4 linked regions of the Drosophila melanogaster genome follow. The gene in region 2 interacts genetically with the main gene of each other region. Each region holds a gene or a part of one and is shown on either strand. Other genes may lie near its edges.

Region 1 (5,750 bases), on a different chromosome or scaffold from region 2:
AAAGTGAAAAAAGTTCATCAAAAAAAAAAAACGAGAAAAAAAAGGATTTATCATTCTGTGCGAGTTTTATACCTGGTCCCGAGGACCTCAGGCAAATAGATAAGGAGTTGGTGGTGGTGGTTTGGTCTTCGTCCTGCGTCCTTCGTCCTGCGTATGCAAATCGCTCGCCCGAGTCCGCGATGATTCCTTTTCAATTCGAACAATGCCGAGGGTCGCCGCCCTGTCCTTTGGCCACACATGTTTGCGTCTGCGTTTTTTCTGCATTAATCGTCCTATTTGGAAAAAAAAATGATTAAACCCTTTCGTTCGGTACATTTTTTTCGAAGATTTTTCCCCGTTTTTTTCGAGGTTCATCTTTTTTTTTTTTTTGCTTAAGTCATCCCGTTGTTGTAATTTCACTTTTCCGTGAGAACTTTTGATGGGTTCTGATGGAAATAGGATGCTCAGGTGGGACACAAAAGAAGTTTTTTTTTTTGGGAGCAAAAAAATAGTTTTATTTCGAATAAAACCGGAATAAAGAAAAAGAAACGTGAGAGTTTTGGTGTTCACATTAACGTATAATAATTTTAATGTAATGTTTTAAATAATCTACATGCTTAAAATTGATAAATTAGTTAAGTTAGTTAGGTATTGTAACTAATTTGATTTTTTTTTAAAATTAAGTAGCTTCTTTGTTACATTCTAAGATGTAACTAAATTAAAATGATAGACCCCATCCTGTTGCGGTTGGTATCTACTTTCCAAACGACCTAAGGCGATTTATGTTCGAATAATCGAGGTGCCTGCATCGTCGTGCCCAGCATCCTAAGCAATTCACCCCCCGGCGTGATGAACGATGATGGTCTTGGGCTCGAAAGGATTCGATCCAAGATCTGACCGAGTTTTCTCAATTTGCATATCGAGGGTCGCGAGCTCCTTTGAGGGGTGCTATCGTCGGGGCAAGGGTTTGTCATGGGAACAAAAGACGCATTCATTGCCGAAGAATAGCCGAAATCAATATTTGAGGTAATTAATTAACTGCATCAATATTGGAGACGAGGAAATCCATAACGATATTCACATTTACCAATCAATTGATTGACGATTGAATGTTATCTTGAATTTTATCGCTAGAAGTCATTTGGAAAGTTATTACGCTCATATTTCATATTTTAATTAAATATCGTTAACCGAATTTTTTAACTATCAGAAATGAACTGGTTTTCATCAAAAAGTTATTTTTTTATACTTTGTTAAATAAATTGTTGAATAAAGTGGTTTACCTCGATTTCATCATTTTTATATCTGATCTTGAAAAATTTTACATTATTTAATTTTAAATCAAGCTCACTCTCAATTTTTTGTTATTAAATATTCTCATTCTGCTAATTCAAATCGAGCGGTTTTATTTCTGTTCTCCATAACGCGATCTGGCAACCTCTTCCCTTAAAATGTTTCATCCCTGGGAAGAGGGTTGCCTCTGCTTCAAAAAAATGGCGCGAAATTTCAACATATCGTAAATTCAATATAACAAATATCTGATGGGCAAATTTTTAACAGATTATTTTTAAAATCTTTTTTTTATATATTTACGGTCAATTACATTTTGATTACTTATTTAACATTTAACCAAAACTTTTAGAAAAGAAATATAAAATTTTTAGAAATATTCGAATACTTCATTTGCGAATCGAAAAAAATTACTGAAATAAAATTATTTATATTAATGGGAAATATTGGCCATTTGAAAAGCACCTGCTGTGCTGAGTGACCGCACTTCGCTCGTCAAGTGTGGTATTTTTTAGTACGTTTCGGCGCTTAGCGCGTGCGGTCACACAAACGCCAGGTACGTGTCCAAAATCATGAATCGAAAGTAAATGAACAATGTTGCTGCTTCGAAACGCAAATGCTCGCTAAACTCGTGAAATTGGGATTCGGAATCGCAGGTGCGAAATCACACGGGTGGGGAAATCGGATTCAGATGCACTCCGTCGGCGAAGCGCAAAACAACTGAGCACGCAACAACAAAAACAGTGACAGCAACAGTCATAACAATAGCAACACTCACATCAAAACACAATGACAACACGCACGGTGCAGAGAAATCTGTGGGCCTCCGCTGCGGTGGTCCTAGTTCTGCTCCTGCTCTGGACGGACACCACTGGAGGCTATTTTGCAGCCATCGATGAGACGGAGACTAGCAAAAACTGCTTCTGCGAGGTGGGTTAATATTCGGATTATTGTACACAGTAACGGTAAAATTAATTGATGATTTAAGCCATTTAAAAATATGTTTTTCAAAAATATTAAGAAGTTGATTTCATCATCATTTGCTTATCCTTTAACGATCTCTACTTAGATCTTAAAAAAAGGCTTTTAAAATTGTATTTTAAACTGAAAAGTATGTAGTTGAAATACTGGAGATTAGTAAAAAAGAATTCGTGCTTATATTAGTTTTGCTTTAATTGCAGTGCAGAACGTACAGAATACTCAATTATTTATTTGTGATAATTAATTAATTACACTTGCTTCACTAATAATATTTGACCTAGTATATGTATAGTACTCAGCTAACTTGAGATCAAATTTTTGTATACCTACTATTGCCACCTCGACTGTATGATATTTATATTCTTCGCAGTTGGAGGGATCTATAAACGACTGCAGCTGCGATGTGGACACGGTGGATCACTTTAACAACATGAAAATCTATCCGCGATTGCAGAGTCTGCTGGTGAAGAACTTCTTCCGCTTCTACAAGGTGAACCTGCGGCAGGAGTGCCCCTTCTGGCCGGATGACAGTCGCTGTGCGATGCGCTTCTGCCAGGTGGAGAACTGCGAGGAGCAAGCGATTCCCCAGGGCATCAAGGACAAGGGAGAGCACAAGGAGAAGGCCGCGTTTAAAGTAAGATTCCGGGTATTTCCATCGCTATCGTCTACACTACGCCTCTTATCTTATTCAATCTTTTGCCAAAATCACCACTATCTACCCAATCACTCAATGGGCTTGCAGGTGATTTATTTTTATTCGAATGTCTGCGGCTCCACAAGAATGAACCGCATCGATAATCTTCAACTGAGCCTACACTGTTAATGATGTGGCCTTTGATTTTGTTTTGCAATGCTGACGTGGTCTTCACATCTCATCAAGCGTTTGCCCGCCCCTTTTTAATTGTCGATTAACTTATTAACTTATCTAAAATATTGATCACTCCTTAGCAGACTATACCATACAGTAAAATATTATAAACAAAAATTCTATACCCCAAAATGAGAATGAAAATCAATTATTGTTTTTAAAGATAACTCAAAAAAAAAAAAAAAAAAAGAAACAATGCAGTTCAATATACGTATGTATTTAACAGCAGAGGTTCTTATCTTCACAAACAAAAAACAATTGATACTCGTACATAGCAAAAAAAAAACAAAACCATATTATCTACCAGATACTTTATTAACGTATAGATAATTATTTATACCGATAATGCCGTTCAAGAATGTATTGATATATTTGTGAAAAGCTTTATCTGTTTCTTCAAAGATTACTTAACCATCAATGAAATAATGACTGACTTAAAACTTAAGCTTATTTGTTTGCACAACTGGCTCACTTCACCTTACTGACTTCCTCATCTGCATCTTGTATTTACAGTACACGCGCGAGGCGCAAGTTGGGGGCTCAGCGTGCTCGGATGGAGAGGATTTCGACAGCTCTCTGGGTTTCCTGGACACGAGCATAAGTGATCAGGCGCATCGGGAATTCGAACTGTGGGCGAAGCATGATGAGGCGGAAGAGGACTTTTGCATCGTGGACGATCATGAGGAGGGATCCCAGTATGTGGATCTGCTCCTAAATCCTGAGCGGTACACCGGCTATAAGGGCGAATCGGCACATCGCATCTGGAAGAGCATCTATCTGGAGAACTGCTTCGGTGGCAACAACGAGACGGCTAACAAGTTCTCTAACTACGTGCCTCATTTGGATTTGCGAAATGTGTGCTTGGAGCAGCGTGCCTTTTATCGCATTATTTCTGGCCTGCACTCTAGTATCAACATTCATCTGTGCTCCAAATACCTGCTGTCAGAGTCAAAGGACTTCTTAGATCCGCAGGGCATCTGGGGTCCCAACGTAAAGGAGTTTAAACGACGCTTTAGTCCAGAAACCACAAGCGGTGAAGGTCCGCACTGGCTGCGAAACCTCTACTTCATCTATCTGATAGAACTGCGCGCCTTGGCTAAGGCTGCTCCTTATCTGCGGCGAGAAGATTACTACACGGGCATCGCAGAGGAGGATGATGAGGTTAAACTAGCCATCAATGATATGTTGAGTGTCATAGAGTGAGTATAGGAATATTCTTTTTTCTTACAATGTTTCAATTTAGCTTCTTTTTGTAGAAATTTTCAATCCCACTTCGACGAGAACGCCCTCTTCAGTAATGGAATCGCTTCTATTAAGTTCAAGCACGACTATAAGGAAAAGTTCCGAAACATATCCCGCATCATGAGCTGCGTAGGCTGCGACAAGTGCAAACTGTGGGGGAAGCTGCAGACGCAGGGATTGGGTACTGCTTTAAAGATTCTCTACTCAGAGAAGCTCAATCTGGCCACGGAAAGCGGGTTGTGGGACAAGCCGCACATCGAAGCGGATCCCATCTTCAGGCTGTCGCGAACAGAGATTGTAGCTCTATTTAATGCGTTTGGCAGGTGCGTTTTAAATGATAAAATGGCATTTCTAAAATACTTACATCTATACACTTGCTTGCAGACTATCCAACAGTATATACGAGATGGAGAATTTCCGGTGCGTGCTGAGGTAACCCATCCAGACTGGACTAACCGAGCGACGAGCCGGATCTCATTCGCCTCACATGAGCAGCTAGTTAATTCATACGCACATCGCTGGGGCTGCGTCTTGGACTTCCTACTGAATGCGGTTTCCCTCCCATAGTTCGTAACATTTTTGAGGCCAGAGGCTAGTAACCCCAGGATAGCTGCTTCCCTGTACATACAAACTATTACCCTAGGCTACTTGTACTTTAGCGCACCGTATCACCCTAAAAAAAACCAAATGACAAAAAAATAACCCATGCAGGATGCAGGTGTTTATTGTAAGTTAGCATAGTATTTATTGTATCTGGAGGAGTTTGTGAGCGGAACTTAATGAGCAAGTAAACGCATTGTGCAATACCAAGACCTTACGACACAAGGCGCTAAAATAAACTTCTGTCTGTTTTGAAACACCCTCTCTAACGTCTCCATCGATACGGGTCCTAGCAACCGAGTTGTTTGCCATTCCAGCTGTCGGCTTTTGTGACATTAGCAAATTGCTATCCAGTCGATCGACACTTGATTGCTCTTGTGACTATATTTTCTGTGCGAAATGGTGCTTCTTCAGGTGAAACGCGGAGACGAGCTTATCTTCCTCTATGAGACAAGCGTTAAGGAGAAGACTGATACTGTGCTTCGCGAGCTTGTGGCTCTGCACAATGGTCAACTGAAGATTCAGCGTGTCTGCATGGAGATTGAGGAGCTGGCCGAACATGGCACCATGGTGCCGCCTGAAATGATTGGCCTCAACGAGGAACAGAGGGAAGAGCTCAAGCTTAAGGATGTCTGGGCGGATAAGTGCATCCCGTCTGGTGGTTTCACTATCAACAAGGATCCGCTCCTTCGCCGTAACGGACAGCAGCCAACTGAGGCGATGCAAAAGGTCCTGGCAGGTGCCATGAACGACGCCAAGGCTATGGTGGATCGGGTAATGTCTCCTCGAA
Region 2 (7,943 bases):
ACAACAGCTAACAAAAAAATGACAAGAATTTTGTTAACCATGAGTTTCATCACCTCTGCGACTTCCCTCAATCAGAAGTACGTACACAATTACTTAGTGGCCTATTGCGTATATCATTTATGTAAGACTTTTCAGCGCCTCAACCAATTTCATTACTACACACAATGTTGCCGCATGCGGCGACTGCTTTAAGGTATGCCAAGCGATTAGTCACAACCATTATCTCTATGGGCAATTAGAAAACATTTCCATTTCTATTTTTGACATTTTTATTTTAATCTTATCGCCTACGACTAAAAACAAACTCTCGCATTGGTTGGGCGGCTACATGGGTAGAAACAAACTAAGACAAACAATTTAGCATCGTAGGTAACTTAGGTAACTTAGGCTAACGACTGTTTAGGAGTACATCTTTATGTGTATGTATAATTCCTAAGGTTAAGTCTTAAAAACAAAAGGACATTTTGTTGGTAATTTGCGACGCGCAAGAGTAAAGGTAAACGTAATACAAAACTTATTGAATCTAGGGTTGCCCGGTAATGAATCTGCGACCTTTACGGGTCGAGGTCAGCGAATAAGGCATAGCCAGGTAAGGAATAAGCGATGGCGATACTGATGACTCACAAGCGAAATGCTATAAGTGACTGAGTTTGGCGCTGACAGAATGGGTGTCCAAGCTCATGGCCCAAATTGTCTGATCTATCACTGATGCGGCTCACTGGAGCTGCTGAAGGTGCGGCTGCGACTCAGGCGCCTGGCCCGCTCCGCCAGCTCCGCCTGCTCGCTTTGTCCTTCCGAGAGGAGATGAGGTAGCTGCAGAATGTTGCGCAGCTGGCTTTTCAACTGCTTGGTCTGCGGGCGTTGCTCTGGCTGGGCGGATAGCATTTGCTGGAGCAAGTCGTACTGCTGCGGGTAATTGACAGCGAAATCCTTGGGATACTGGCCGTCCCGAAGACTGCGCAGTGTCTTGATCCGCTCCATTTCAGTGCTGAAGTACACGTGCAGCTCGAAGAAGATCAGTCCCAGTGAATAGATGTCCACCTTGTAGTCGTAGTGCTGGCCCAAAAGCTGCTCCGGCGACATGTATAAGTGGGTGCCCACCTGCTGGGTGTGGCGGGCACAGGAGGGCAGGCCACTCTGGTCCCCACACTTGGCCACCAGGTTGGGGATATCGGCCATGTCGGTGACGAGCCCGAAGTCTCCAATCTTTATCTGTCCATCCTGCGAGAAGAATATGTTGCTTGGTTTCAGGTCCCGATGAATCAGACCCTTCAAATGTACATAGTCAACGGCATCAACGATCTGGTGAAAAATGTCACCAATGTGGGCAGCCCTTGTTTCCGACCGGTTGTCCCTTAACCAGTCGCGCAGACTCTCCTTGCGGCATAGCTGCATCTGGATGTAGAGGTACACCTTGCTGGGCTTGGCCACCGTTCCGTTCAGAATCGTGGCACTGGAGGGCGTAGGTTGGCTCCCGTTTTGGTTGTTATTGTGATTCTGGGCCAGTGCCAAGGTAAGGGGCTTCCTTCTAGCTTTATTATCGTCATTCGCATCATCACTTCCACTGCTCTTGGGGCGCACAGATTCGATTTGAAACGAATTGGAGACCAGTTGGTGCTGTGAGTAGTTTATGTTCTTAAGGTCAAACGAGGCCGAATGGATGTCAATGGACACGGAGCTGCGATGTCGTTTCTCATGGTCTCCCTGCTGCTCTTCATCCTCTTCATAGTCGTCGTCGGTATCATCCTCCTCCTCTGCCCGTAAAGCGGCTGACTGCGACTCGCTGCGGAATTCAATGAGCGAGTCCTCTTCCTCATCGTAGTCGTACTCCTCGCGTATGTTCTTGAGTGATGACTCGCCTGGTAGATGAAAGTCGTGACTACAAGCGGTGCTATTGGCTGCATCCGAAACCCAGGACAAGAGCTGCTGTTGGCGTTTCTCCTTCAACTGCTCCGTCAACGAAGGCATTGTACTATCGTCCGGCGTCTCTATCTGGATAGAGGTGGACAGCTCGTGGGCAAGCAGCTTGCGATCCTCTTCTTCCTGCCAACCAGTCGGCGGTGTCTCGGTCCAGGACTGGAAATTTTACAATAAAGAGTTTTATCATCAGATAATACTTAAAAACTTAATTTTAACTTTTAAATAGATAGAAGAACTTACATGGAAGTATCGCACGATGTTGTGGTGCTCACAACTAGCCAAAGTTCGAGCCTCGCGAAGGACTCGCTGTCTTGAAGATTCCTTATTGGGTAGCGTTATGCGCTTAATGGCGTATCGGTTCTCATCCAGCTTGTTCTTAGCTTCGAAGACCACTCCGAAACCACCGCGACCAAGGCACTGCATCAACTCGAAGTCGGACTGAAAGCGGGAAGTGTAATGCTCGCCTGAATGAGTTGTAGACTCCGAAATGGTGCGCTGATTTGCTTGTCCAGGTGGGAAGCTAAAACGATTTCCAGGTCGCTGCATCGGCACCACTGGACCTAGTAAAGCCTGTGTGGATGCTTCGGTGGCCTCGATGGCCGTTTGAACAGGCACATGACGTTCAATGACCAGATACTCTCGCTCCACGCGCTGGTTTCGTTGGCCCATGAAAATATTTAGAATCACAGCCGACGTAAATGCTATGACCACGATTTCCTTCCACCAGAACCACAACGACAATATCACAACCTTTACAGGCGCATCAATGTCATCCAAACTAAAGCCCAAATCGTCGTTGACGCTATGGTTTCCAGTAGCTTCCGTTCCCTCAGATGTGGCATTGGTAGGCGATGTTGGAGCTGTGATTGCTGGAAGGTCAGTTGGATTATTCTGCGTACTGCACTCTTGCGGGCCGTTCAGATCGCCAGTGGTGTAGAAGTAAAAACCATTGCCATTGACAAACTCCGATGCATTCAATACGGACTGCGCTGCCACAGCGAAGTTTTCATCATCATAGGGCACCAGTTCCCCTCCTTGTGCCACAGCTCCCTCAGCAATCATTTCAGGGTCCTCCTGGTCTTTCCGGAAGATTACCAGCGATTTGCTACTGGCGGATATCGGCTTCCAGGGAATCCTGGGCATCAGGCTGGTGTCGCCTGTAAGCTGCTGATAGACCTTGGTCTGGTCCATAATCTCCTGGCGTAGACGTATTGACTCCTGAATATACAACTGTTTATCGTACATGCCCAAGTAGATGGATGGCGGGCTTTGTGGCGCATTGGGCAGCTCCGTGTCATTTTCGTCCTGGTCCCAAAGCCACTGGGCCGAGCTAAACAAATCAATAGGCTGCAATTCGTCGTCGGCATTTGTATTCCAGGCACTCACAATTGGGTGATCAAACTGAAAAGCACACGAAAAGTACTAAGTAAATTTGCCTTTAATATTAAAGCCATCACCACTTACCTTGTACTTCCACAGCATAGTCTGTGGCTCACTTTTGCTGAAGGCGCAGATAATTCCCTCGGGCACTACCACCTTTATATCCACATCCAAAACAGCCAGCTCCAGCTCATCGCGCGGCTGTAGCTGGCACTCGGAAGGTCTCACCAGATCCAACTCATGCTGACCTACGCTAAAGTTCCAACGCTCCACTCCGGTCCGGGATTCCACGGCCCGAACCGTTTGTGTCTGGCGGCGGACGATAATAACGTCGTCAAGGAGAGGATCATGGCGCACTATGTAGCCGGCCTCGTCCCTTAACTGTTCTCCGTCCTCCAGCTGATCCTCCTCATCGGGCTCCCTAATGGTGTCGTCGATTGCAAGCCCTTCCTCCGTAGAGTTTACACATCCGTTTAGAGAACATTCATACAGCAGCTGGCCAGTGCGAACGGAAACACCGTATGAGCGTGTCTCCTTGCCTCCGGATATAACCAGATCATCGCTGAATTTGGCGCTCGAGCTGAGTAGGTGCTCCGCCGTGATTGGAATGGGATCGATGGAGTCCCCGTCGAACTTGTAGATGCCGCCGCTCAAAGAGGGAATCATGCGTACGAACTGCCCATTGTTGGTCAGCTCCAATCGATGGATGCTGGACGAGATTAGTGGCCCCGGTCCGGTGGGCACACTCCAGCGCAGTTTGCCGGACTTGGCGATGTCCAGAGCGCTCAGTCGACCATCAAGCGTGGAAATGTATAGGAGTCTGTGGATAGAATAAATAATGCAATACCAAGTTTTAATGTTTTTATTTCCATATTTAATAAATAAATATCGACTACTCCATATTAGCTAATAGTCCATAATGGCGGAATTTGCCAAATTGTTATTTTCGCTAAATGATACCGTGTCAGCGTAACAAGGATTTTGTAGCTTGTGGAATTTAGAGTGGGCGAGGCCAATATGTTTTTAAAAGCCGTTCTTGTTAAATATAAGAATACCGTATACCCTTTATGTAGGTAATATCCAATTACCATGGGCGAGCTTGAAATAAACAAACACAAGATTTTGAAGAAAAAACAAAAAACACAGCATACATAGATTCAAGTAATGATTTGATTTTTATGTAATATTTTCTATTCGTGCAATTAATGTAAAAATTGAATTTTCTGTAAGTGAGTAAGCCTTTGGTTAACTGTTTAAAATATTTCAACTCGAAAGATTAAATACTAGAGTTAAATTTGCAATTATACAAAAAGTTGATTTGTGCTTGCAACCGATTCCGTCACCAGGTACACGGTGCATGGGGCAAGAATAAAGGAAAGCAGGAAAAGGGGCACACTGGCAGACCCAGCTGACAGCGTAGAAAAGGTAAATGGGAAGTAAACTCAGCTGTTTTTGCGCCAAGAAGACAAGAACTCGAGGAACAACAAGTGTCAGTTGGCCCCTCTCCATTTCCCCTATCGCCATCTCTGTCGCGCCCACCAAGGAGCCGAAAATGGCGCCCGCAAAAAGGGGGGATAAAGCAAACGGGGGGAGAATTGTGAAATTCAGTGAAAACCTTGCACAAACGCAAAGGAAAGCAAAACAATCGGGGAAACCAGTTCGGATTGGCATGCTTGCCAAACAACATATCTAGACGTCTGCCTCAAACAAAAATTCAGTTAAGATCTTGCAAATGACTCACCGCATGCTTGATAAGCGCGTCCACTGATTACGGGTTTTCATAGTTGGCCAAGGTGCAAACATGTGGGTTCATATTATCAGATCGCTCCCAGACTTCAAGTTGAACAGAAGCTCTCCGAATTTCTCGTGTTAGACGGGACAAGGTACTTAAAGCTAAGGGCCGTCGCAAATGTTACCAACTTGTCGGATCAGCCGAGAATTTTGAGCTACGTATTTTCACTGGCCCCCCGTCGTACCACAGTTCTCTTCGAATTCCCCGTTTTAGCTGATTAAATAGGCACTTTTCGAGTAGTTCAACCAAATATCACTAACGTGTTCTTCGCAATATTTGCCTAGGTGCTGGCTGCTCGTTTATCCACTTGCACCGCGTTTTAGCGAATGTTCGAGAACATAAACATAACACACACATAACGCACTCTTCTTCTTCTGCTACAATCCATTCGATACCAGTGCATTCCTCCCGATACTTTGGTTAGGGTACGTACCTTCTTGCAACGCGACGCTCCTCCTGATCTACGCAGTGTTCGAGCCCGGGGGGACGGGGAGATCCGGCAGTCTGGAGCTCCGAATCAGTAGTTGGGTGCCCAGCTAGCACCTGGGCGGGATCGAAAGCCACCAGGCCGGCCATAGTGAGCGTGACGATCTGCAGGAAGCTCAGGCTCCGGCGACGATGCCTCACGATGCCATCCAGGTCGTCCTGCATCGTACGCGCATATAACGTAATCCTGGTCGTTGGCGATCGGACGCGGGGAACGGTGCAGAAATGCAAGTCTCTAATTGGTTCGAACGGTGACGTGTTGACCTCACTTCGGGGGGTCGGTTGGTGGAACAGCGGCGGCAGTGGCTCCCGGCAAGGTCGGCGCACATCTCCGCATCACTCTCGATGGCTCCTGCAGCAATCAATCGCAACTCCACTATTTAAATCCACTAAAACTGGTCAGTTTATGTTTTTGTTCCGATTGGGCCGCAAAACGCGCGATTGCAAGTGTGACCGCGTTTTGACAGCCTTAAAATAACAGATGACACCACAATACAGTTTATTTCGTCATTACCTAAAAGTACCAAAAAAATACACACGGTGGGAACAGTTTCACTAAGGTTTTACTATTTTAAACTTTTCCAGTAACTAATTTAAAACAATGTTTGACGCCCATGTTTTGACACAAATAGGGACAACTTAACAATAATTATTAAAGTAGATGAAGTATTATTTCCATCTCATCTCTTATTGAATACTTCTATTATTCGACGTGTTTTAAAAATAAATTCTATTCGGCTATAATTCTGACACATACCAAATGAAATTCAAACATTACTTTAATTTAAATATGCTCTACCTTCTAAAAATATGTTAGGTGGTATATTCGTCATAATATAGAAACGTTTATTACAACATTTATTCTTTTTAAAAAACTTTTGATTACTATGAAACCATTTCCTTGATTTTTTTAGAAACCGCATTGTTGATTAACAGAAACTTGAATTCGTATGATTTTCGAGCAGAAAGGCTACGCCATACACCCCTAGTGTCCTTGCGAAAAGATTCGTTAGTAGTACACACTACAGTATTCGTTGACTTTGGCAATACAAAAAATAGTTTTGAGATTTTCAAAACTAATTAAAATCTATTATGGTAGAAGTGGTATGTCTGATCTAAAGGAACGACATTAGCCAAGAGTCTCGAAATCCACATTCAATTCGTACTCTAAAACGTTTCCATCGTCTTCATCTGCTACTTAAGATCAATATAAATGGATTTTAATGCGAAGTGGATGGTCCCGCCAAAAGATAATTCATTGCAGTAGGGAAAGTCAAACCGAACAGCCATCAATCGATATACAGATTACCGTCAACTTTCAATCGGTATCTCGCCTTAATAAAAAAGCCAAGTTGCGTTTTAATTAAATTTAAAGTGTTTCATTTAATGTAAAACGGATTTTTTACTCCTGCAGGTCAGTAATTCAAGTCGGATATTAACTTAAATCCTTGATGGGTACAGCATCTGCAAGAAAAAAGAAGGCATGTTAATACAACCCAATTGTCGGACAGAAAAGGTGTGTTTGAACTAACGATGCGGATGCGGTGGCCCATGGCATGACCGGGCAGGTTCCTGTTGAAACGGGCACGCACAGCGCCGGTGTTGCCGTGGATGCGGGTGACCTTGCCCCAGACAGCGCGGACGCGGGTCTTGCGCTCGGGATGCTGCGGCACGCACTTCTTGGTCTCGGCCTTGTAGACATAGACGCAACGCTTCCCAACGTAGAAGGATCCGTGCTCCTTGCGGCGGGCGCCCTCAATCTGCAATGTAATATGTTGGTTAATCAATTACATTACTAAAATGTTTTTACAGAACTGGAATGTATTAATTATTATTTGAAAAACTCTGTGAAGTCCGGACCCATCACATTGAAGTATAGACATACCTTGAGGATGGCCTGGTTCTCGTGCTGGTTCCTCAGACCACGCTTGTAGCCGGTGAAGACGGCCTTGGCGAAGAGGCGTCCGTGACGCTTGTACTTCTTGGCGGAAACTTTAGCCTCTGAGGCGGCGGGCTTCTCGGCCTTAGGCGCCTTGACGGCCTTGGGAGCCTTCTGGGCCTTGGCGGCCTTGGGCGCAGTAGTGGACTTGGCTTGTGTGTCGGCCATGGCTTAGCTGTGGATGAGAAAAGATAATCTTTAGAGCCGTAGGCATTCATCATAGGTATTCGTTGGGGCTTGAGGGTTTCGATCATTTGCATGCATTTGATTAAACGAAAAGTACTTTAAACATTGAAGATATTGAGGTGCACAGCTCTGGGCAACAGTACATTAAAAACATCATTTTATATAAAAATAAAGCGGAGTCTGGTGAAAATTCCTGTACCCGACCGGCCTGGGGCAACATTTAATGATAAAAACAAAAAC
Region 3 (4,294 bases), on a different chromosome or scaffold from region 2:
GATTAACTATACTCGCAGTTATTTGTTTTTGCGCGACTTTGACGCGAACGGTTGGGAATTCGGATTAAGAATGCGACTCCAGGTGGCTCTGGATTCTCCAATGTTCGAAAGAACGCCGATTTTACCTAAAAGCTGCGAGCGCTTTTGCGTGGGAGAGCCGCAGTGTTGGAAACCAACGGAATTGCGTCACGGATCCGGTAGCACCGGGCCAGCTGACTTCTGTATAAAATATGGCAGCCTTGGTTATAACGAATATTTGCAGAGAAATAATTTAAAACCAATTGAAAAATATATACAAATGAATCAAATAGTACGCATTAAAAACCGATTAATATTAACAATTCATTATAAACAAGCTTTACTAAAAAATTAACCGCCCATAACAATAAAATAAAATAATAAAAAAATGAATAGATATTATAAATATTACATAAATTGTATAATATAAATATTATAAATTCTGTAAACATAAATTCTTTTATGACTAGACCCAGTTCAAAGAAACAGCCGTACATTTCTAACAGACTAAGTTTATTTTAATAACTACACTTTTAACCACTACAAGTGTTGGTTTTCTTATATTTTGATAAAAATATACAACATATTACATAGCAATACCAATTTTGACACGGCTTTTCATTTCCTGCTCTTGACCTAACAGAATGATACATAATAATGTAGTGCAAATAAGTAACGATAAATAATAGAATTTGGTAGCATGCAGGAAATGTGTTCAGCAAATTGTGTCTCCGTTCAGATCAGCCGTTTGATTCGCGCACACACGGAATGAAATGCAGCAAAGTATGTAGTTGGATTTGCTTTGGAATAAATGTTTAAAAACACCCGGCGACACGACTCCTCCGCTCGTCATTCTAATTCCGTCCTGGTCAAATCCACAAACTCCTTAACTCCCGGAGCCGAAAGCATTAAAATCTTCGGTCCCATTCGACATCTATTCCAAAAAGTACAGACTAGAAGTTCCTCAGTTCTTGACAGAAAACAGTTGCGCAATCTTGGAGGCATGACTCTTGAAGAACTCGTAGCCCACTTTTGCGGCGCTCTTGAGAGCTCCTTGGTTGTTGAGACTGCCGTTTGTTGTGGATACGGTGATGGTCGTTGCAGGAAGTTCTCCAGCTGGCGAAGTCGTCGTCACCGCGTGCTGGTGATGTCCTCCACCAACCAAACTGTCCGGAAACATGCGCCGCAGCACGTAGTTGAATCCATTGGAGGCCTTGTTGCCATTGGCCTTAAACCGTTCGATGCCGAAGGCGCGAATGGCCCGCGAGAATCCGAACACCTGCGAACTAATGTATGCTCTTCGCACCGCCAGAGTACTACCATCCTTCTGCTCGCTGTAGACGACAATTTCATCGACTTTCTAAAAGGAAAAAACAATGATCATTAATTAGGATTAAATTAAACTTGAAAAGATTAAGTAACATATTTCACATATTCACTAAAAGGGTGCAGTAAAATAAATCGAACAATAATCTTAACCGGATCCCGATGTTCTGTATGCGTTTCATGGGTTAAATATAACAAACAATGCCACAGCATTGACCATCGATCTGTTAGGTAACACTTATGCTTTTGTATTATGCCGGTATTTCGGTCATGCCCAACAGCTAGTGGCTGAATTCTTCTAGACATTTCTTTAAATTGATATGTGACCTATTTAAAGCAATCGTAGTAGGTGTGCGATCACTTGCCATTATCTTGGTCATTCCCAGGTTCCTGGTGAAAGTGGTGAATGTCTTTTTAACCGGGTCCAGCACGGAGTCCTCAACAATCTTGACCGGCACATTGTTGTAGAAGCGAGCTCCCCACTTCGGCACCGGATTCGTCTTGGAGAGCAGCCGGCGCGAGAAGAGCTTGCCATCGCGCACCTCCCGCTGAATAGTGTCCTCGGTGAGGACGTGCGTGCTTGAGGGATTCGGGTAGCGGTTCCAGTAGGCGACCACCACGTTCATCCAGCTGTAATCGAAGACCGTCTCCGTGCGGCAGGTGGATGCTGCCACGACCATGTTGAAGGTGGACCAATGAACTCGCCGATGTGTTCGAAAGTGAAAGCCGCCGTGTCCCTGATCTGAAAAATAAACCGATAATCATCAATAGCAATCGCATGTTTCCGGCTAAAAATAGATCGCCGAATCGATGGACGTACCTTTGCGAGGGGGTCCAAGAACGGGGGTCTCTTACGGTTTTAGAGCTCCAGAGTGCAGTGTGATTGGCACCAATTAGCTGGCACACGTTGATTCAGCTAGCAGCTTGTTGTTGCCCCGACTTTGGGCGCCTACTAAGAATTTAGTTGTGTAACTGCGTCACAAACTCCGGCACAGGGTGCTTCGGGTTCGTTACCTTCAATTTCTGGCAATTTGCTGGCGATATCCCTCGATTCCTGCGTTGCCTCGACCTTCAGTGCCCCCTTCTCCTGTCTGTACACGGTTTCATTGCTTGCTTTCCAAGGGTTTGCTGCCAATTTGGATACAATTTACGCCTGTTCAAAGGCCATCCGGAAACATCTGGTCGCAAAGTTGCCAGATGGTGCGTGTGCCAATAATACCACAATTTGCATTTTCCCAACTATTTAGTATTTTACGTTTGGTTTTGCGCCAAAACGTTTTCTTTTAAATTTCACTTAAAAAATGTTTTTAAGCTTTCAATATTAATTGGCAAATATGACAAATGTTCTTGAAATAACTTAAATCAAAGGTTTGCCGGTATTTTACTACTACATTTACTATGTTAAACTAATAAATTATGAATTTATTGGATGTTGGGTCATATCTAGTTTTAATTAAATATTTAATTATTTAAATTTCGAAAAATAAAATCTATTATTTGAGAAATAGTTATTGCAAATATTTTATTGCTTAAAAATTTATAAAATTAACTCACAAATAGTTGTCATGGGAATTTTTGAATTGTGCGGTGCTTAGATACCAGAAAACAATCAAAAGTTCACATAATTAAGTACAATTAGAATAAAGAAGCTCAAAAAAATGGATGTTGTGGAATTCCTCACACGAACCGATAGGCGCAATCTAAAATCTCAAATAAGTTTCCAGGTGGCGCAAAAGATGCACGAATGGCACGCGGATTTGGACAACCGTCGTTGGAACCTCTGTCTTCTTCTCCAAAAGGAAGCCTTGGAGGCGGATGAGCAGATTGCAGAGATGCTGCAGGCGCAGGCGGATGAAGCGGATCGAAAGCGACACGAATGGATCGAAATGGAGCGATTGAAGCGGGAGGAGGCCGAAATGGAGCTGGTCAAAGTAAAGAAGCAGCAAAGGGAGATGTAGGTTTTGAGTGTAGAATTTTAAGTCCTTTTCCATCTGAAATCACCTCACTTTCAGTGAGAACTCCGAGGCCCATCGTCACATGCTAACCAAGGAGATCCTGCTGGAGTCCAAGCAAGCCCAACTCCATCAAATCGAGGAGAAAAAGGCGCTCAAACGCCGCCAGGCCTGTGTGGAGATTCTTTGGCAGCGCGTCTGGCAGAGATTGGACGAAAGTAAGGCCCAGCAGGAGCAGCATGAGCTGAAACTGCGCAACTTGATTGAGAACAGGTGCCAAGCCCACAATCTAGACACTGATCGGGAGCAGAAGGCCCAGTTCGCCAAGGAGGTGTTGGCAGACCAACGGGAATGTTCCCAGGCGTGAGTACCAGGTTCCCTAGAGATTCAGTTAGTTAATATACTAATCGAATGGATTATGTTGGTAATCCAATCAACTACCTTTCATAGCCTGGAACTGGCTGCCGAAATGGATGTGCTCAAGAAACAAGAAGATCTGAAGAAGCTCAAGGATAAACGGCGCCAGCAGCTCATTGACTTGCAGGATCAGATCAAATGGAATCTTACCATCAGCGCTCGGCAAGCACAGGCCAATATCCGTGAGGATGTGGGCTACAACATCCTCGAAGACCGCCAGATTTACGAGGAGCTCATGGAGAAGCGTTGCGCCAGGGTGAGTTTGCATGCCCGCCTCCAACTGCCTTTCCTCTTAGTCACAATGCCAACAACCCAACCCCTTCTCATTGCTCCAGATTCACAATCGCGATTGGCACCAGCAGTACATGACGCACACGGCTGCCGAGCGAGCTGCTCGCAGGGAAGAGGATCTGGCACGGGATCGGAAATACCTGGGCACTGGGTGTGTGCTTGGCCAGCAGCCGAAGCAACCGTACGGCAAGGAAGTGCGCTAGTACCAGTGGTGGACACATCGTCATCGCCATTGCCATCGATCGATGGGCACGCACTCATGTCACGCCTCACATTTGAATACCATATTG
Region 4 (4,305 bases), about 19 Mb from region 2:
TTCTTCTACTTCTTACTCGTACGCACCGTTTATGGCGCCCACAATGTCGTAGGTCACATGCGGCGGATAATCGGAGAGTATGTCCAGGGCTGTGCGTCCGTTTCCATCGGTGGCGTGTACGTAGATACCGGCCTTAAGCAGAGTGACCACAACGGACTTTTTGCCACAGAGAGCCGCCTCGTGGAGAGCGCTTCCAGCGTTGGTGAGTATGTTGACATCGACGCCGGCCGCCAGCAGTGTTTCCACCACCTTCTTGTGCCCATTCCTGCTGGCCAGGTGCAGGCAGGTGTGCGTGAATATGTGCTTTATGGGCATGCAGCCCAGCAGCTCTTCATTGTCATCTTCCAAACGCTTATACGGCAATATGAGGTCGGGATAAACACGGAGCAAGGTCTGAACCACCTGAAGGCGTCCGAATTGCGCTGCCAAATCCAGAGCCGTTTGAAAGCTATTGTTGCGTATGGCAGGATCGGCGCCATAGGACAGCAAAATGGCCACCACGGCATTGTGGCCATGTTGGGCGCCTGAGTGCAGCGGCGTCTCGTTTTCGATAGTCTGGGCATTCGGATTGGCTCCCGTAGGCGAGTGCATCAACAGCATCTTGACGATGTCCTGGTGCCCAGCCCAGGCAGCCAGAAATAAAGGTGTCGAGCCACGTATATCAGGCACATCCAACAGCGCGTTGTGGGAGAGTAGTAGCCGTACAATGTTGCTATGCCCATTTAGACAGGCGTGATGCAGCGAAGTGTAGCCATTCATGTCCTGGCAGTTGATGCTGGGACTTCGCCTAAAACTGTAAAGGAAAACCTGTAGTAAACTACCTGGAATAACAACAGTTGCTGCTGGTGACTCACCTGGACAGCGGGCCATGTCGTTTGCTCGAGTGCTCCAGCAGTTTGTCCACCGTCTTGATGTCGCCGGCTCGCGAAGCCTCCAGCAAATGCTGATCCTTGCCCATTGCTCCTCCGTATCCTCCAACACTAGGTAGCTACACAGGAGCAGAAGAACACATGTCAAGTTGTTTAGTTTAGCTTTTGCTCCGATTCCAACACAATGAGATCATCGCGAGCATACAGAATACCACAGCCCCAGCCCCACTCACACCCCCAACAAATCAGGTGGCAGCCAGGCGGAATCAGCTGTTTGGCCCTAGCACGCACAGACTGATAGCCAAATATTTTTTTTATACAAAATAGCTGTGAACATTCCACAATAGTATTTTTGTTTATAATATGGAGGGCTGAATGGTGGCTCCGCCTCTTCCAAGGTCATTCCACGGCATTGGACTGCTCCAATTGGAATTTCTTTGTCACCAGCTAGGTTTTATCTTCAAGTTTTAATTTACCGGCTATGTCCACGTCCGTTTCGAAAGTTTACAGCCATAAACGAATAACTATATTTGCCACCGCGATAAGCAATCAACAAAGCTGTGATCTAAACTTTATTTACGTGGAGCCGATCGAGCAATTGTTCGTTACTAATTGGCTAGGGATGGAGGCGTGAGGCGACGACGAAACACACGACACTCACGTACAATCAGTGATGATCAGTATAAAATGAAAGTGTGATTAGTGAGTTGAATGCTAATGCTGAATGCCTTCAATATATTATTATATTATATATTATTACTTATATACGCCCTTTATTGTTTACAATATAATGCCAAAAGTTTTTAGCTACTAAACTTTAGCTAGGTATTTGATACTGCGTGGAATAAGCTAACTACCCAACACTTGCACAGAACAACCGATATTTCCGAGCTACCATCTCTAGCTGCACAAGCCAATTTTTTTATTTTCCCTGGCAAAAATTCACGTTTTTAACCGAAAATTTGACTCACAGCATCATGGAAACCTCGAGCTCCAGTCCAGTAAAGCCCAGGAGAAAAGACAAGGACGAAGGTAAGTGGAAACAGTGAGAAATCTGCCCCAAAACGATAAAGCGAGGTGTGCCGGCACATCGGTGCCTTTGATTTTGCCTTTGCCTTTGATAACGCGTGTGTGAGTGCTGGTGTGCGTAAAAAATAGCCAAATTAAAGTTTAAGGTATGCCCCTGTTTGCCTCGCTTAATGCAAACCCATTCACTATGTTGCCCTTGCAGATGGTCGTGCAGAGCAGGAGGATTCCGCAGATCAGGTGGGCGAGCCGCACAGGAAGCTTTTGCGCCTGGGCGACATCCTTGAAACGAACGAAGTGCTCCTGAACGAGGCGTATCAGCAACCGGAACTTACCAAGTGGCTCCAAACAGCCTGGACGGAGGAGAAGAGCCAAGGGACCAAGGAGACGCAAACCGGTGCTCAGGTCTTCTCGGATCCCTTTCAAATCTGCCTTCTGCCCGGCATGCTGGAGAAGGGCCAAAGCCAGGCGCTGGTCGCCGAGATCATCCAGAAGGTGCAGTGGTCGCGCAAACAGATGGATTTGTATGAGTTCTACCAGAGCGCCGACCTCTCCAACATGCCCGCTTGCCGACTGTTGACCAACTTCCTGCAGGTGCTGCGCAAACAAGTGCGTCCCTGGCTGGAGAAGGTTACCAACCTCAAGCTGGACTATGTGTCCGCCTCCTGCAGCATGTACACCTGCGGCGACTATCTGCTCGTGCACGACGATCTGCTTAAGGACCGACAAGTGGCCTTCATTTACTATCTATCGCCTTGGGAAGGAGCGGAGGAATGGACGGATGAGCAGGGCGGATGCCTAGAGATCTTCGGTAGCGACGATCAGTGCTTTCCACAGTTTCCAGTGCAGCGAAAGATCGCCCCCAAAGACAACCAGTTTGCCTTCTTCAAGGTGGGCTCGCGCTCCTTCCACCAAGTAGGCGAGGTTACTACATTCGACTACCCGCGTCTTACCATAAACGGATGGTTCCACGGCGATACCAATGAGGCCTTCGTGGCCGACTCCCTGCGCGCCTTTCCCCGCCTGAATTACCTGCAACCTGATGGCCTTAATAGGCCACCGCTTGGCCTGTTTCTAAACAACGTGTATCTAAAGGGGGCCACCCGCCGGAGCATCCAAAAGCGGATCGAAGAAAACTCCGAGATTTGTTTATACGAGTTCTTCAAGCGAGAGAAATTCGAATTGGCCCGGTCGCAGCTGTTGGCCGATTCGGATACCTTGAAGTGGCGAAGACAGGGACCCGCAAACGCACACAACTATGAAGTGCTGGATTTGACAACAGCCAGAGGCACCATACTGGAACTACTGCAACTGTTCCGTAGCCACGCCATGTTTGATTTGCTGCGAGATTTCACCGATCTGGATTTGGCAGGCACCGATGCCGAAAGTCCAACATGCAGCGTGGAACTGCAGCGCTGGTCCCACGGCAACTACACAGTGCTGGGCGACGGTTTGACCAGCGAGGAGAACACTTTGGACCTGGTTTACTACCTGAACGCGGCAGAAGGAGCAGCGGTGATCACATACCTCGCACCCGACGCCGAAATGCCAACAGCAAAAGCACCGACGGACGGAAGGCGATCGGACTACGATGACGAGGAAGAGGACGATTCCGTTCTGCTTACTATCACGCCGGTGGACAACGCCCTGAACATAGTATACCGGTGCGAGGGCACCACCAAGTTCACCAAATACGTGTCGCGCAACACGCCCCTTGAAAAGGGACCTGTTTTTGTTATTTCGTGCAGCTACAAGGAGTAGCATGTGATCCTGTTTCACAACATGCGCACAATTACTCGTCAAGGACTATTAACATTCATACCGTTCTCCTGTACAGAAACTAATTTACATAATAAACTTTATAAAACACAAATCAAAATATTATAGTTTTTTGTCGAAGTAATAAAGTGTGAACCCAAAGAACGCTTACGACCGCGATAAATCAGGAACTAATCAAACACTTCTCTTTAACTTTACAGATAAGTTCCGGATCGGGGCTACACTAGCATTTATCGTGGTCATCATTGGAATTGGCGTGCCCATGTGGTGGCGCACCACCACAGTCTACAGGTGAGTCAACCATGTCTGGCGGCGTTTTTCCAATTATACCTAAATGTTGCAATCGCAGAGTCAATTTGCCCTCGACGGAAATTTTGAGTCTGAGTAAAATTCCGATCAAAACGGCTGTGCAGGTGGCCATCTACACACAACAGACCAGTCGTGGCCAGTTGCTCATCGCCGAACTGCAGAACGCCTTCAGCGACAATGGTAGGTGCAAATTCATTATCCATTCATATTTCTAAACGGCATGCATTTCCCATTAGAAATATGGTCTGTGGAATTCAAGCAGCTATCTCCTACGCCAATGACCCAGGAAGCACACACGCCAGCTGCTCTGGAGAAGCTGTTG

Evidence for each region.
Region 1: of PEK (region 2) and Ero1L, changing one suppresses a phenotype caused by changing the other (phenotypic suppression), as found in Drosophila melanogaster (one study listed by BioGRID).
Region 3: of PEK (region 2) and prel, changing one suppresses a phenotype caused by changing the other (phenotypic suppression), as found in Drosophila melanogaster (one study listed by BioGRID).
Region 4: of PEK (region 2) and sud1, changing one suppresses a phenotype caused by changing the other (phenotypic suppression), as found in Drosophila melanogaster (one study listed by BioGRID).

The regions. Positions count from the first base shown.
Region 1 is NT_037436.4:4,168,594-4,174,343, forward strand, and holds Ero1L (endoplasmic reticulum oxidoreductin-1-like), read left to right. Parts: upstream 1-1,810; 5' UTR 1,811-2,058; coding exon 2,059-2,199; intron 2,200-2,620; coding exon 2,621-2,884; intron 2,885-3,631; coding exon 3,632-4,317; intron 4,318-4,374; coding exon 4,375-4,683; intron 4,684-4,744; coding exon 4,745-4,796; 3' UTR 4,797-5,196; downstream 5,197-5,750. Other genes in the region: CG18675 (uncharacterized protein), read left to right, coding at 5,360-5,734. UniProt on the Drosophila melanogaster protein: Oxidoreductase involved in disulfide bond formation in the endoplasmic reticulum. Efficiently reoxidizes pdi-1, the enzyme catalyzing protein disulfide formation, in order to allow pdi-1 to sustain additional rounds of disulfide formation.
Region 2 is NT_033777.3:5,458,690-5,466,632, forward strand, and holds the start of PEK (pancreatic eIF-2alpha kinase), read right to left. Parts: upstream 6,065-7,943; 5' UTR 5,744-6,064; coding exon 5,526-5,743; intron 5,207-5,525; exon of another isoform or gene 5,104-5,206; coding exon of another isoform or gene 5,042-5,103; intron 4,432-5,041; exon of another isoform or gene 4,392-4,431; coding exon of another isoform or gene 4,363-4,391; intron 4,121-4,362; coding exon 3,385-4,120; intron 3,322-3,384; coding exon 2,161-3,321; intron 2,077-2,160; coding exon 703-2,076; 3' UTR 1-702. Other genes in the region: RpL35A (ribosomal protein L35A), read right to left, coding at 7,019-7,042, 7,111-7,338, 7,464-7,685. UniProt on the Drosophila melanogaster protein: Phosphorylates the alpha subunit of eukaryotic translation-initiation factor 2 (EIF2), leading to its inactivation and thus to a rapid reduction of translational initiation and repression of global protein synthesis.
Region 3 is NT_033778.4:9,422,331-9,426,624, reverse strand, and holds prel (preli-like), read right to left. Parts: upstream 2,539-4,294; 5' UTR 2,359-2,538; intron 2,297-2,358; exon of another isoform or gene 2,294-2,296; 5' UTR 2,165-2,293; intron 2,087-2,164; 5' UTR 2,025-2,086; coding exon 1,710-2,024; intron 1,379-1,709; coding exon 983-1,378; 3' UTR 518-982; downstream 1-517. Other genes in the region: CG13955 (uncharacterized protein), read left to right, coding at 3,003-3,298, 3,357-3,659, 3,747-3,969, 4,049-4,207.
Region 4 is NT_033777.3:24,915,305-24,919,609, reverse strand, and holds sud1 (sudestada1), read left to right. Parts: upstream 1-1,745; 5' UTR 1,746-1,846; coding exon 1,847-1,901; intron 1,902-2,100; coding exon 2,101-3,656; 3' UTR 3,657-3,770; downstream 3,771-4,305. Other genes in the region: CG11168 (uncharacterized protein), read right to left, coding at 27-793, 855-958; PIG-S (phosphatidylinositol glycan anchor biosynthesis class S), read left to right, coding at 1,847-1,901, 3,875-3,965, 4,024-4,163, 4,220-4,305. UniProt on the Drosophila melanogaster protein: Prolyl 3-hydroxylase that catalyzes 3-hydroxylation of 'Pro-62' of small ribosomal subunit uS12 (RpS23), thereby regulating protein translation termination efficiency.